Danio rerio: one gene and its partner. The protein of the gene in region 1 interacts with the protein of each later gene in a pairwise test. Links are inferred from orthologs where the notes say so. Each region holds a gene or a part of one and is shown on either strand. Other genes may lie near its edges.

Evidence for each region. The genes of interacting proteins can lie anywhere in the genome.
Region 2: the proteins of tsr2 (region 1) and rps26 interact in binary tests that used the Homo sapiens proteins (3 or more experiments, as listed by UniProt). The two-hybrid records come from large-scale screens. The link is inferred for Danio rerio from reciprocal best matches to the Homo sapiens genes TSR2 and RPS26.

Annotation. Positions count from the first base shown.
Region 1 is NC_133183.1:9,896,397-9,904,660, forward strand, and holds the start of tsr2 (pre-rRNA-processing protein TSR2 homolog), read right to left. Parts: upstream 4,316-8,264; 5' UTR 4,303-4,315; coding exon 4,222-4,302; intron 3,609-4,221; coding exon 3,518-3,608; intron 3,190-3,517; coding exon 3,098-3,189; intron 1,268-3,097; coding exon 1,100-1,267; intron 1-1,099. UniProt on the Homo sapiens protein: May be involved in 20S pre-rRNA processing.
Region 2 is NC_133198.1:30,593,813-30,601,499, reverse strand, and holds rps26 (40S ribosomal protein S26), read right to left. Parts: upstream 4,250-7,687; 5' UTR 4,239-4,249; coding exon 4,236-4,238; intron 3,671-4,235; coding exon 3,493-3,670; intron 2,660-3,492; coding exon 2,529-2,659; intron 2,427-2,528; coding exon 2,391-2,426; 3' UTR 2,333-2,390; downstream 1-2,332.

The sequences.
Region 1 (8,264 bases):
GTGTACAAGTGCCGAGCTTGTACACCGAGACTGATAACCAGACACACGGAATTAACCTTGATTGAGGCAATGACTGCGCCACGACACAGCACACCAGACACTCTCAGTGGCGTGGCAGAAACATGTCTCGAATCGAAACACACCACGCATTCGAGAACTCCAAACACAGGCCTCCACCAGGGCAACTACAACGGCGCCGCCAACCCAAAGCTCCGCCGCGTGCACCCCGACCGAAACCCACGCCCAGAACTCCGAAATGCACGGCGCCACGCAAATGGTACAAGCAATAATTCCGATTAGAGCGATAATGTGGAGAATATTGATCTTGTGTTGAGCCCAATGAGCTTTTCATCTAAAAATAGAGCAAGGGTGTTCCTTTAGTGACATCGCTTTGACTTACACACTGAAAATGGCGGATGTGAAACAAGAAACTGAGGATATGATCGTGACGCGAGGCTGACAATCAATATTGGTGGACGGGGGGACCGCTCTCCTACGTAAAGTTGCAGTCGGTCTAAAAACCGCTCCAATTGGTCAATCGTTTTTATGTAGTTAAATTGAAAAAAAAAAAGGACTGTGTGTGTTTATATTACCCCAATAGGACAGTCTAAACACTATACACACATACGTCCGTCCAAACAGCTTGAAAAGTAGATTTTTCACCATAGGTGCCCTTTAAATCACAGCAAAGTAGAACAGTGTTTCCCAACCCTGTTCCTGAAGGCACACCAACAGTACACATTTTCAACCTTTTCCTAATCAAACACACCTGAATCAGCTCATTGGAACATTAGAAGAGACTCCAAAATCTCAAATGAATGGATCAGATGAGGGAGACATTCAGTATGCTGTTGGTGTGCCTCAAGGAACAGGGTTGGGGAAACTACAGTAACGCCTGACCTAAGACAGGACAAACAGTGGCCTTCATTTAAAAATATTACTGTTATGTTGATGTAGACTTTTAAAGTGTAGATGTATAAGTGACATGCATATAAATCGATACATATATAAATAAAAAGTCTTTATATTCTACATAGAAATTGTCTAAAACACTGAAAAATGTATGATTGTTTTTTTTCTGAACACATATACACTGCACCTCTTCCTCATCATCATCATCATCATCATCCTGAGGTGTTTGTGCAGGAGTGGCTTTAGCTCTTCCGCTGCTTGTCTTCTTCTGTTTCAGTTTAAGGATCTGCTCTCTGACCTCCGCCAATCTGCCCTGCTCACACTGCTGGAACATCCCACACACCTGCTGCGCCACCTGACACACACAAAGAAACACACACATTTAATCATCCATGAGTTTCTATTCAGAGACAAATAAAAATGAGGACACGAAGTGATCAAATCAACAAAACAAAAATGCATACAAAACATGAACATGATCACTTGCGAAATAATTAAGTCCTTTCACAGGAGCGTTTATAATTGTGTCTTTAACGGGATAGAACAACAGATAGAATTATAGATAGAACGAGCTAAATAGAACACGCTAGATAGAGCAAGACTGATAGAACGAGACCAATAGAGCAAGACTGATAGAATAAGACTGATAGACTGATACAGAAATAAAATGATATAGATAGAATGATATAGAATGAGATAGATGGAATATTTATATACATAAATAGAACAATATATAGATGGACCGATAGAATGATAGATTTATAGAACAATTGATATATAGATAGAATGATATACAGTTGAACTCAGAATTATTAGCCCCCCTGACTTATTAAACCGCTTGTTTATGTTTTCCCCAAATTCTGTTTAACGGAGAGATTTTTTCAACATTTCTAAACATAATAATTTAATAACACATTTGTAATAATGTATTTATTTTATCTTTGCCAAGATGACAGTAAATAATATTTGACTAGATCTTTTTCAAGACACTTTCATACAGCTTAAAGTGACTTTTAAAGGCTTAACTAGGTTAATTAGGTTAACTAGGCAGGTTAGGGTAATTAGGCAAGTTATTGTATAACGGTGGTTTGTTCTGTAGGCAATCGAGAAAAAGTCTAGCTTAAAGGGGCTAATAATATTACCCCTAAAATGGTGTTTAATAAATTAAAAACAGCTTTTATTTTAGCCGAAATAAAACAAATGAGACTTTCTCCAGAAGAAAAAATATTATCAGACATACTGTGAAAATGTCCTTGCTCTGTTAAACATCATTTGAAAATTATTTTAAAAAAAGAAGAAAAAAAATTGAAGGGGGCTGATAATTCTGACTTCAACTGTAGATGTATAAATAGAATGATAGATCGATAAAACAATAGATACAGAGAATGATATATAGAATAACATAGACATATGAATAGACTTATAGATATAACGTTATAGATCTATCAAAGGATAGAACGATAGACTAAAACAACAGAGCAATAGATAAAACGATAGCTAGAATGATAGATATACAGATGGAACGACATAGCTCTGCAGAGAAAACAATAGAACGATAGACAGAATGAAAAATGAGGATAGAACGATAAGATAGAACAATAATAGAATGATCGACAGATAGAATAATAAATATATAGAACAACAGATAAAATGATAGACAGAATGAAAGATCGATAGATCAATAAAACGATGGATAGATGGATGGATGGATAGAGATAGAGACATAGCTATGTCTATGTAAGATTGATAGAACAATAGACAGAATGACAGATATATGGATAGAACAACAGATAGAATGACATGGATATATAGACAGAATAATAGACAGAATGTTAGATGGATCAAAACAATAAATTAATCAAACAATGGATAGAATAATAGATAGAATAAAAAAGATATATAGAACAATGGATAGATGTATAGATAGAACAACAGATAGTATGATATAAATAGATAAAATATAGAAAGGAAGGTAGATGATAATAATCTCTCACACACACACACACACACACACACACACACACACACACACACACACACACACACACACACACACACACACACACACACACACACACACACACACACACACACACACACACACACACACACACACACACACACACACACACCTCCAGCTAGCTTTCATTCAGATCTCTCATGTCAAGACCAAAAGACAACAGACCTGAGGCAGACTGCCATCATCCACCACTGTGTTGAACTCATTGTTCATGAGCTCAGAGATAAAGTCCTCCACCTCATCCTGCTGGAGATCACCTGTGGACACAAACAGACCATCTGTCAGCTCTTAAAGAGACAATTCACTAAAATAGAACAATTTACACACCCTCACCAGCTCACACTCGAGTGGCTTCAAAAGATATTTTGAAGAGTCCTGAAAACCATTGACACCCAGAGTACGAAAAAACACTGGGATAGTCAGTGGTTACTGGTTTCAAACATTCTTCAAAATAACTTATTTTGTGTTTAACGCAATAAAAAAATCAAACTGGTTTGGAACAAGTGAAGGGTGAGAAAATTATGACAGAATGTTCAGTCGTGGGTTTCTTGGCGGTTGCTAAGGTGTTGAGTGCAGCGCTCTGACCGTTGTCGGTGAAGTATTGCTGCAGCGCGTCCACCATCCACTCCGCCTTCTGCTGACTGAACGCTCCACCGAAGCCGTTGTCCACCGCTATCTAATAACAAAACACATTATTTACTGTGTGTGTATATATGTATGTATATATATATATATATATATATATATATATATATATATATATATATATATATATATATATATATGTATGTATATATATATATATATATATATATATATATACATATATGTATATATATATATGTATATATATATATATGTATGTATATATATATATATATATATATGTGTATATATATATATATATATATATATATATGTGTATATATATATATGTATATATATGTATATATATATATATATACACATATATATATATATATACATATATATATATATATACACATATATATGTATATATATATATATATATATGTATATATATATATATATATATATATATATATATATATATATATATATATATATATATATATATGTATGTATATGTATATATACACGAGCAGCTGAAAGAAATATCGCGACACAGACATGTTTACACTGTGAAGCGCATCCTGATATCAGTCTGCTTGCCGATTCATATCAGACTGAAGCTTACGTAATAGATTTTGCAGACATGGTATCATATGATATGTATTTCCGATCACAAATGCTATTAGTTTACTAACTTGCAGCACCGGCCAAGTTTCCAAAACAGCCCGAACTGCTTCACTGAACACCTCACGTGTGGACGATGAGAGCGGCGCCATCTTGAAAACCAGCATACCCGAAGGGTCGATCGCAGATTTCAAGAGATTCCCTAGGCAAAAGAATCGATCACAGAAACCGCCAAAGCACCTTCTTTTCATCCGCATTTACATTTTTCTTTTCAAAATTGCACATATTTTTCAATATTATAAAGTGGTTATTATGTAAGATTATAAACTCAGCATTGTGACTCTAAATACATTATAGGACAGCATTGGTTTAGTGCTGTTGTTTTATTATTTTGCTATTTTCATTGAGGTGTTTTAGCCTATTTTGGTATTGCATAACTATCAGGAACAAACATACAACACAATATAAAAGATGAAACAAAAAAACTAATTTAATAATCGTAAAAAAATATTTATAGATAAATATATAATAATGAATAAAAATAACTAATTAAAATGAATACACAAAGCATAGTGTACAGAAATTCTACATCCAATGATTTTAAAAACTGACAGGGGAATCAAACAAGTGTTATAATAGTTAATACATATCTCAGATTTTTTTGCTTTTCAATCATTTCACAGAAATAAAGTCAAACTAGATACAGAAAACTGTTAATGTGGGAGATGATTTAGCCAATTCCTGTTTGTGTATGTACAATTTTGCCAATAAAATAGAGATTAAAACTAAATTCAAGACTTCTGTTGGATCTGTTTTCTTAAAAATAATAAGTTTAGTCATTTTAAAAATATATTAAAAATATAAAAATTACATACAAAAATATATTTGGCTAGATCCTTTCAGAAATAATGTTAGTATATGTATCAAATATTGTACAATTACTTTAAAAGATTTTGGTTTTTTAATGATAAATGTGTTGTTTAAAAGTTAGGCGTTTGTTTTTTAAGTTTTATAAAGCTAAGGTTTTATAAAGGTTTTAAGGCAGGGGTCACCACTCCCGGTGTAGCAGTCGATTCTGTTCCCTTCTGGATTTCCAGTTCCCCCTCTACAAAGGGTGTTCGTACAGCTTTTGCAGACACCTAAACACAACTGGGTGTACAGAAAGCAGACTAGTGGTTCTAAAAGTACATATTTTTTCTGAACTTGAAAATGAAAAGGACTAATATAACTGTAGGCCTTCACGCAATATTGAACTAGGGTGCATAAACTCAAACATTTAAAAAAAAAGTTAATAATACTAACAAGAACCAAAAAAAAATACTTCATGGGAGAGTTAGATTCATTTTATTAAGCTACTTTGGCATTGCAAGACATGAAAGCAATGTCCATTTTGGCTTTCCGTACACCTAGTTGTGTTGGGGTTGTGTCTGCAGACTCTGTTAGCGGACTTGCTTTGTAGAGGGGGAACCAGAATCGACTGCTACACTGGTCTTGGATGGCCAGTGTCCCTCCAGAGTTTAGCTCCAACTTGCCTCAACACACCTGCCTGGATGTTTCGAGCATACGTAGTAAGAGCTCGATTAGCTTGTTCAGGTGTGCTTGATTAGAGTTGGAGCTAAAATCTGCAGGACACCGGCCCTCCAGGAATAAGTGTGATGACACCTGCCGTTTTAAGGGTTCAATTTCATTAGGCAGATTTTGAAATGGAGTCAAGTAATTAATTACTTATTGAGTAAATAAGTTACATTTTAGATAAGCTAGAAAAGTAATTTAAATACAATTTAAACCATATAATTAGTAATTACTTTTTGAAGTAACTTAATTAAACTGGTCAGGCGAGAGCAATTGGGTAAAAGCTAAACTTTTTTTGATTTTCCCATTTCAGCCACAAACTAATTGTGATGCGCACTTACATTTAGTAATGCTTTTTATTTCAAAAGGCCACATATTGATCAAGATCATAAAGCAAACTGAATAAAAGCAGCTTTTTGAATTTAATGTAAATACTTTTTAATGGCCGTGAAGTAAGATTTAATCCAAATGTAGAAGCTATTATCATTCTGACCCTCATCACATTGAGGAAAAGTTGGCTTTATATTTGCACATTTGTTCATTTTAATGGCTCCTATATTGTTTACCATGCTACTTTGAATATTTAGCCTGAAATTGCATCCAAGTATGACTGTAAACAATGTTGTACTTAGATGGTCATTGGCTGTTTACATGTTTGTTTGTTTTTGCCAATATATAATTAGCAATGTTTTTTTCTGAAATTAGATTATTATTAAGGAGAAAGTCTGAATGTGTGAATATAAAACCAACTTTATCTCAATCCTCATCACTACACCCCCAGAACACACATCAGCCGCTCAGAGGGAAACTGAACTGGACCCCGGCTTACAGTCACCCACCAATCGAAGCTTCACCACTGAACTCCACTTAAGAGTGAGAGATGTTTGGGCAGGTATTGACCATGGAAAAAGTGACTGAGCTGAGCCAGAACATCACCCCACCTGACGCCGATGGTCATTCTCATGGATATGGTGTGAGGGAACAACTCATCAATATCCAAACAGAGACTCTGTGAATAATGAACAAACAGACCAGTCCATCACATGCTGGGAGTGTGGTCCTCATAAAATGTTCTATCTATTATTGCTGTTAATTGTTTTTGATTACTATATTACTTATATATTTTGGTAAAGTTGGTTTTACATTCGCACATTCAGACTTTCCCATTAATAATAGAGATTCAGAACAGCATTCCCTGAAAACTCTAAATATTGAAATTATATCAACAACCAACTACTATCGAAGTACAACATTGCTCACAGTCAATTTAATAGTGCTAATGATGTTTTTGAAGTCATAATTGCATGAGATTTCACAACCAATATTTAAAGTAGCATGACAAACAATTAGGGATATATATATATATATATATATATATATATATATATATATATATATATATATATATTTTTTTTTTTTTTTTTTTTTTTGTGGTTTGTTTTATTATTATTATTTATATTTATTATGAGTTAAAGGATTTGGTTGCCACCATATTTTTTCCAATATAGGCCCAACCACACCTCTTTACAAAATGCAACTACATTTTCTCATTTTTAATTGCACAGTGAAAGGGGAACGTGGTTACAGTACCCCATTGTAGTTATTTTAGGTCGTTATGCATTTGTAATTAAGTAAATTTGTATAATTGTTTATTTCAGAATATTTTGGTAGAACAATTATGTTTGCCAATTTACACCAACACAAACTGAATAAAACATACAATTATATAGCCTACACTGATACTGCCTGATTATTTATTTAGTGAAAAGTGTGGGCAATTGGAACTGTTTGTAGGCATTTATCAGTGTCACTAAACCAGGATAAGGCTTGTGGATTACTGTAGGCCTTAAAAAGGCTTAAAAAAATTTAAACATATCGAACCTAAATTTTAAGCAGCAGCATTACCCGTTAGCTAACGATTAAAAATTTAAACCAATGACCTTTAAAGCTTTCATTTTAAACAAATCTAGACTCAAGAATATTAAACTCTAACATAAAAATTCATCATTAATAACCCGTATACATCACTTTTAATCTAGCAATTTGCTGTCTAGCAAACTCTTATGAAACACTTAATGCTTTATTTATCCAATTTTAATACCTTGTTTGAAACGCACACTTACTGTTTCGTCGCAGGTTGTTTCTTTAATCCTTGTTTGGGTCGAGGTTCCTGTGAATGAGTGTGTCCCCCATCTCTGCGGTCACTGGCAAAAGCTTGAAAGAGGGAGCAGTAGACATTTATGCCTCCCGCTTCAGCGGGACGATACCAACTCAGAGCAAATCACGGGGGAGGACCGATGTGGTAAAGCTTAATGGTTACTTGTTTTATTTACCTATATTATTGATAATTACTCTTTTATGTTTGTTATAGTATTTATATAATAATATGTATCAACATTTTAATTTGTTTAGTTGTACATATTTGTTTGAATCAAATGCTCATTTGTATGTTTTTCACCTATGTCGCGTAAATTAGTAGTTAGGCTCAGCCTGCGTCGATGTGTTTTTGTTTATGTCTGTAATTCAATATAAAACGCGTTTT
Region 2 (7,687 bases), on another chromosome or scaffold:
ATCTTGTATTATTTTTTAGTTTACTTGACCCAACAGTGTTAATAATATAGTGTTGCTATGTTTTATTTCCAAGTCTTTAGGTTTAGCAATTATACCGTTTATTAGGATTCAGTTTCAGGTTCATGTTTTATTTCAACCGGTTTAAATTTATTTCCATGTAATGTTTGTATTTGATTTCGCTTTTATTTAAATGAACTTTCCATAGTTTGTTTTTACCAGGGGTGTCAACTTAGTCCTGGTGAGCCGGGGTCCGTTCTTCGTACCTCGCTTAAATGATCTAAGATGATTTGGCAGATCCTGAATCTTTTAATCTTGATAACTGATCTCTCGCTTATTTGGTTCTTCAAACAAGTTCGCGAATCAGATTAGAATGTCTGGATGAACTGATCTGAGATCGCTGCGTTTGTTGTTAAGGACAGATCTATCGATCCTCGAAATCATGATCAGCAATGCAACGATTGGCTGACGGCACAGCAGCGTAATGACATCATCTGATTAATATTCAATTATCCATGTGAGCAAAATTACATCAAATTAGCAGTAAACGGCTTGTTAAATAAGACACGCAGTAACTTCACATTTGTTGTGAGCTGCAGGCTTTACACTTTCATTTGTCAAGACAAGAGTATTCATCATGTATTTCAATGCAAATCAGTGTATTTAGTTCTACATTTAGAAAAGATTTTCTTTATTATAGTACAGTTTTTTAATCGGTGTAAAGAATAACTGGTTGTTTCCAAAAGCATTTTGATATTGGTAAAGGCGTCTGCAACTTTTGTGAAGCATCAAATCACTGGCATATTAACTGTCAAAACATGTTTATGACTGCATAAATGTATTATTGCTTTTAAAAAAAAGTCACATATTGTGCATTTCTATTATACACAATTTGTACTAAAGCGATCTAAAAAGTTCATACCAATAAGTTTTCTCTTTGCACCACCAGGTGGCAGTCTTTGTACTTTCATTTCGAGGGTGCAGATTGCATACGTTTTATTAATATGTAAAACTTTATTTATTTTATTAATGACTATAACTTTAAATATATAGTTAAAAACTACTATTTTCCCAAGTGTATATAACTTTTACTGTAAGAAAATATCAGAACTCGGTACATACTTTCTGTATTATCTTTGCTTGAACTGAGCCGATCTAATCCTGTTTATATGATTTGAACCTGCTCCCGATCAGGTTTGACCTAGCAGATCTGTTGCCATGACAACAACTCTCGGATCAGCTTTGAAGAACGAAACGATCCTGGATCGTGTCAAATCGTCAATATCCAAATCCAGCTAACTGAGTAATCCACGTACGAAGAACTGACCCCCGGTGTCCTGCTGAGTTTAACTCCAACTTGCTTTAACACACCTACCAGGAAGTTTCTAGTATATCTAGTAAGAGCTTGATTAGCAGGTTCAGGTTTGATTAAGGTTGGAGCTAAACTTTCCCGGACACCAGCCCTCCGGTACTGAGTTTGGACACCCATGATTTACACAAACAGTTTCAGCATATTATATACTATTGTCAAGTAACCGTCTAATTTTAATATTAACAGTATTCCTTTAAAAAGGTAACATGAACCACTCTAACAATTAACAAATGTATATTTACATTAATCTATCTTTAATTTCATTTTCCTTCGGCTTAGTCCATTTAATAATCAGGGGTTGCCACAGCGGAACGAACTGCCAACTTATCCAGCATATGTTTTACCAAGCGGATACCCTTCTAGCCACAACCCAGCACTCGGAAACAACCATACATTCTGGCATGCACACACACATACACTACAGCCAATTTAGTTTATTCAATTCACCTATAACGCATAGCTTTGGACTGTGGGGGTAACCAGAGCACACAGAGGAAACCCATGCGAACACGGAGAACATGTAAACTCCACACAGAAATGCCAACTGACTCGAACAAGCGACCTTCTTGCTGTGAGGTAACAGTGCTAACCGCTGCACCACCTTTATCTGTAATACATTAGGTTATTCCTAATTTAATGCTTTACCATTCATTTATTCAAAAACGTAACCCCTTAATGGTCAGCCCATTTTTATGGTTGAACAATGCATGATATATAGTAGTCAACATTTAGGTGGATCATAAAAAGAACAAGTATAGTTTCAGTTCCACTTTAAGGAAAGGTTTTAATCCACTTCAAATGTTGACTACTGTAGTTTATCAAGGTAACACAATATACTGAAAAACATCCCACTTATGGAACTGAGCGTTTAAATAGGTAATAAAAAATATGAACAAAATTTGTAGTATTGTCTATTCAAAATGCATTTCGGTAAACTTTAGTAACCAATAACAAAAGAACACATTAACATTTAAGTCAATTTTATTTCTTTACATAAAAAAATTATGTAAACGGCTCCAGATCACATTGGTTTTGGAGGAGCTCTTGGGGCACCACCCTGGAAAAAGAAACAGAAAACAGTTACATATAGATAAAAAAGCATAAAATAGCATGTTTTATTTATTCATGTTTGTAACACTGATGTGAAGACCAGACTTACAGTAGGCCTGAAGCGTGGAGGTGGTGTACGGTCCTTCCTGGCCTCGCGAGAGCGGTTCCTCACCACTTTACTGTGGATGGCACAGCTGACACAGTAGTGCAGCTTCACATAGAGTTTGGGCAAAACATAGGCTGCACAAAAACAAAACATAACTGTTAATATTGTACAATGCCTCTGTCATGCTTTGCCATGCATCATGTAGTATGTAATGTAACCTTTTATAAATCTTAGTCTGCAAAGCTTCAATGATCAAAGTGCACAATACATAACTAATCTCTCCCTGAAAAAATAAGCACAAATGTATGTAGGTTTCTAGCAAATTAGCATAATTTCATACTTGAATGGTCTTCAAAGCCTGCGAAGTAAACAATGTCAACTTTGAGCCTTATAAACAACCTGTTGTGTTGAGATGCTGCTTATTTTGCTGCAACAGCTAATTAACTTATCAGCACTCCCAAAGGACGAAGTCTGCAGATCAAATTGCTACAGTAAAACGGGCACTACTGTTACAGCTCATATCACTGTATTTGAAAGTGTAGAGAAAGCTTCCAGAGAAATTAAATTATGGCAGTGGTGTCTAAACTATATCCTGTAGAGTTTAGGGCCAACTGCCTGGAAGCTAGTGTGTTTAATTGTAACTGAAACCAATTTTTTTTAGGACAGTGGTGCTCCAGGATTTTAGTTTGAACACCCTAGAGATATGAGAATGACTATGGCTTCCAACATTTGTTGTAAGTGGTTGACTCATCACAGCAGACTGGCCAATCTGAACAGGCACTCAAAAAGCAAAGGATTAGAAAGATTGGATCGTGGAATGGACCATTTTAGACTGGATGCTGCCACCTGTATTATACGATTTTTGATCTTTGATGATCTATTGTAGGAGACATCTAAAACAATAGTTTCAAAAGGGCACTAGGGACACAATCAGTGTCCTCATTTTCTAAAGCAACTGTTTACTCACAATCAAACACACTGGCTTCAGAGATGTCCCTGACTGCAGCAGCCTCCACAATATTCCTGATGACAAACTTCTTAATGGCCTTGTCCTTGGGCACACAGCGGGCGCAGTTTGTGCAGCGGATGGGCTGGACATGCCCTCGTCCCTTCTTAGCACGACCGTTATTCCTCCTCTTCTTAGTCTAAGATGTGGAAAAGTACAATGAGAAGTGGTTTTCAGGGGACAACCTAAAAACACTGATTTACTTCATTTCAGGCTTGGGCATGTTACTTAAAATTATATATTTACTTTATAACGCTTTGAAATAAACTTACATACTGCAATTGCTATAAAAAAACACAATAAAAATTATGTGTTATGATACACTTTTCATTTAACATGCAATAAGGCCTATTGTGTATTAAATGATATAGTGTGGTGATTTAATTTTAACTTTACAATTTTGAAATACATATATAAAAAGATCACTTTTATGTTTGCGTGCGTAAAGGCGTAACTTGTAGATGCATTACGTTTAAATGTAATAGTTGTGAATGCGTACGATGCTTTAGTGTAACGTTACATGCGTAGACACCTCAGGCGTTTTATCGCTTCAATGGGTTAATTTGCCTAAAAACCGATTAGTGTTTGCTGATGAATGAATAAACTTCACTCCGAAACGCGTACCCGGCGAGATAATACGCCGTATCGTAAAGATCGAGCCAGAATACAGGACTAGCCTCTGACTGAACGATTGGTAAACTCACCATCTTGATTTTAGAGAGGCATGAAAGAGGACCGGAAAAGCTCTTACGTCATTTTTATAGTTCACACGGCGGCCGGAAGTATGTAGTTAAGAAAATAAAAGCCCTAAAAGTAAACCCATTTTATTATTTCAATAATCGATTACAGATCTTAATATTGTGCAATTTTAATATATAAACATTTGAACGAATTCTTCATATTATGTTTTACCTGTGATATAATGCACATACAAAGAGAGATGGTGCTCGACGTAAAGTGAGGTAACATGACCTCCCTGAAAGAACAGGAGAAATATGACATCTTGGTAAACCCAAATACTGCAAGGTAAATATACATGTCACAGATGAGACCCATTGTGGTGCTGCAATTAATACTGTATTAAGAGGTAGCAGTCCTCTATCTCCAATTTTATATGTATGCATGGGTTTATTTGTTTGTTTTATTACTAAAAGCTAACAGTAGTAACAAATATGCAAGTCTTTCTTTCTTTTTTCTTGAACTGGGGTTGATGTAGCAAAAACTAACATGGTCACTTTGTCACAGTAATTAACACAGATGAACCATTTTCGTAAAGAATTGTTTATCCATTGTGTGTGTGTGTGTGTGTGTGTGTGTGTGTGTGTGTGTGTGTGTGTGTGTGTGTGTGTGTGTGTCTGTCATAAAAATGAAACTGCCAAACTTATTTCTTTTTTTATATCTAGTTTTTATAGATTTTTTTTTGGATCATATAACCAGTGGAAACAAACAAGTGGAAACGAACAAACTAATTACAAATACTCAAATTACTGTGTTTGAGTGGTTTTTGTTTACTTTTCTTAAACAAATATTAATTACTGTCATCATGTCAACGTTAAAATTAATCAGTTATTAGAAATTAGTTATTAAAACTATTATGTTTAGAAATGTGTTGAAAAAAAAATATTTTCTTCTTTAAACAGAAATTGGGGAACAAATATGGGGGGGGTAATAATTCAGGGGGGCTAATAATTCTGAGTTCAACTAAACATTAATGACTTATTACTCTATATAATTTAGAAAATGTTTTAGTCGTTCTCTTCTTGTACGTCTGAATGAAAATCTAAACAAGCTGATTGTTCCAATTTTCATCCTGTATTTCTTTCATATAATAGTCCCGCAACTGTAAATATCTAAATAGGTTTTGTTTTAGAAAACCAAACTTATCTTTTAAAGTTTGGAAGCATTCCATTCTGCCAACTTTTATAGTTGCACAAAATGAAGAGATTCCTAATAATACCCATTGTCCCAGGTTTAAAATCCAATTCCAAATCCATTCAAAATTTGAATTTCCCGTACTTATTTCAATACTTAAAAAGTCAATTCTATAACATTTTATTGACAAAACATCCTGATGAAAAATGAGTACAGTACAGCCTATAGTGGCATTATATAAATCTTCTAATTTGCCATCAAATGATTCTTGTTAATCTGGAGACTATATGTTTTTTTGTACACTGGGTAATATTTAGTGGGTGATTTCTTTCAATCAAAATCAAAAGTTAAAAAAATAGGCAACAGTTGCATATAAATCTGTATAAAACCTTGAATTCATTTGATGCTTGAAATCTGTGACTTATTGAGATTTCCACTAGATGTCAGTAAAGCCTATGAGAACTAAGACTCTTAATCTGGTGTAGTCAGTCACTTATTCATCAGTGCTTAATGTTGTACCCAAGCAAAGAAGATTGGTGAGATAGCCTACCACCATATTTTGTCACGACCAGTTATCTGATTATTGTTCTGGAATGATCCTTGTTAGTATATGTGTTAGTTATTGTATATTTTCCTGTATCAGACTTGTGTACTATGCTCAAGAGCTGTCACTTCTTTCCATTTCTAAAATGATTGACGATTGGTTGTTGATATTCTGAAATAACCTCTGGTTTGCTTCTGGAGGTGATTATAGAGTTGGTTTTTGGAGTTGAGTGGCAATGAGGGATGTGTACTTATGCAAGCTGCTCTCAGTATGGAAGAGTGGATGTGTAGCTCCTGCGGTAGACTGTCCCCTGTGTCACTGCATTGAAGGAACTGTTGCCAAAAAACCCTTTTCTTTATTGGTTCATGATGGGAATGGAAAGGACCCACTGACAGAAAGGAACACACAATCAAATTCACTCCCATTCTTATTGTAAATTTCTTTGAACGTGTAATAATTTTAAGATATTAATTTCAGGGCGTCACAGTGGTTCAGCATGATCACCTCACAGCAAATAGTGTTGCTGGTTCGAGCCTCGATTGGGTCAGTTGGCATTTCTATGTGGAGTTCACATGTTCTTCCCGTGTTCGTGTGGGTTTCTCCGGGTGCTCCAATTTTCCCCACAAGTCCAAAGACGTGCGCTATAGGTGAATTAGGTAGGCTAAATTGTCCATAGTGTATAAGTGTATACAGATGTTTCGCAGTGATTGGTTTGCAGCTTTAAGAGCATCTGCTGTGTAAAACATATGCTGAGTAAGTTGGCAGGTTATCCCATTGTGGCAACCCCAGATTAATAAAAGGAGTAGCCAAAAAGAGTCATATGATTCTAAACTTTTAAGAATTTCAATCTTCAGATGAACACAAAGGAAGAGTGACTGAAGAATGCTTGAAAAAGGCAGCCATTAACCTCCGTTGTAGGAACAAAAATACTGTGGAAATCACCTGCTGTTTTTCCAGCATTTTTCAGTCAATCTTCCCTTGTGTTTAATCGAAGACTGAAACTCGGGTTTAGAATAAGTGGAGGATGAGTAAACGATGACAAAATAAAATTGTTTTGGTGAACTATGCCTTTAAGCCATCATGAGATGAAGAGGAAAAAGGCAGACATGGTGACACAGGAATGTGTCAGTGTTTCTGTAACCGCTATGCCCCTAAACTGCAGCAAATAAACATTCCTCTGTTCATGTGTCAGAGCTGAACACTTGCCCACTGTTGCTGTAAAAACATAGCCAATAATTAAAACCAAAAAACCCAATGCTTTTTTCCTTTGTCTTAACATTTTTCTCCCAGTGGATTGCATTTAAACAATGTACCATTGTTCATCTGAAAATGTGCAAAGCACTGCAGATGAACCACCAGAGATGGACACAAACACATCAAAAACTGTTACTACAAGTACAAATAATTGATCATCATTCATTCATTTTCCTTTGGCTTAGTTCCTTATTTATCAGGGGTTACCACAGTGGAATGAATCGCCAACTATACTGCCATATTTTTTACACAACGGATGCCTTTCCAGCCATAATCCAGTACTGTGAAACATCCATACACTCTCACATTCACACAATAATTCATACAATTTAGTTAATCCAATTCACCTATAGCACATGTCTTTGGACTGGAAATGTAGCACCTACGTGAACACAGGGAGAACATGCAAACTCCCCACAGAAATGATAACTGGTCCAGCTAGGATTCGAACCAGCAACCTACTTGCTGTGAGGCAGCAGTGCTAAC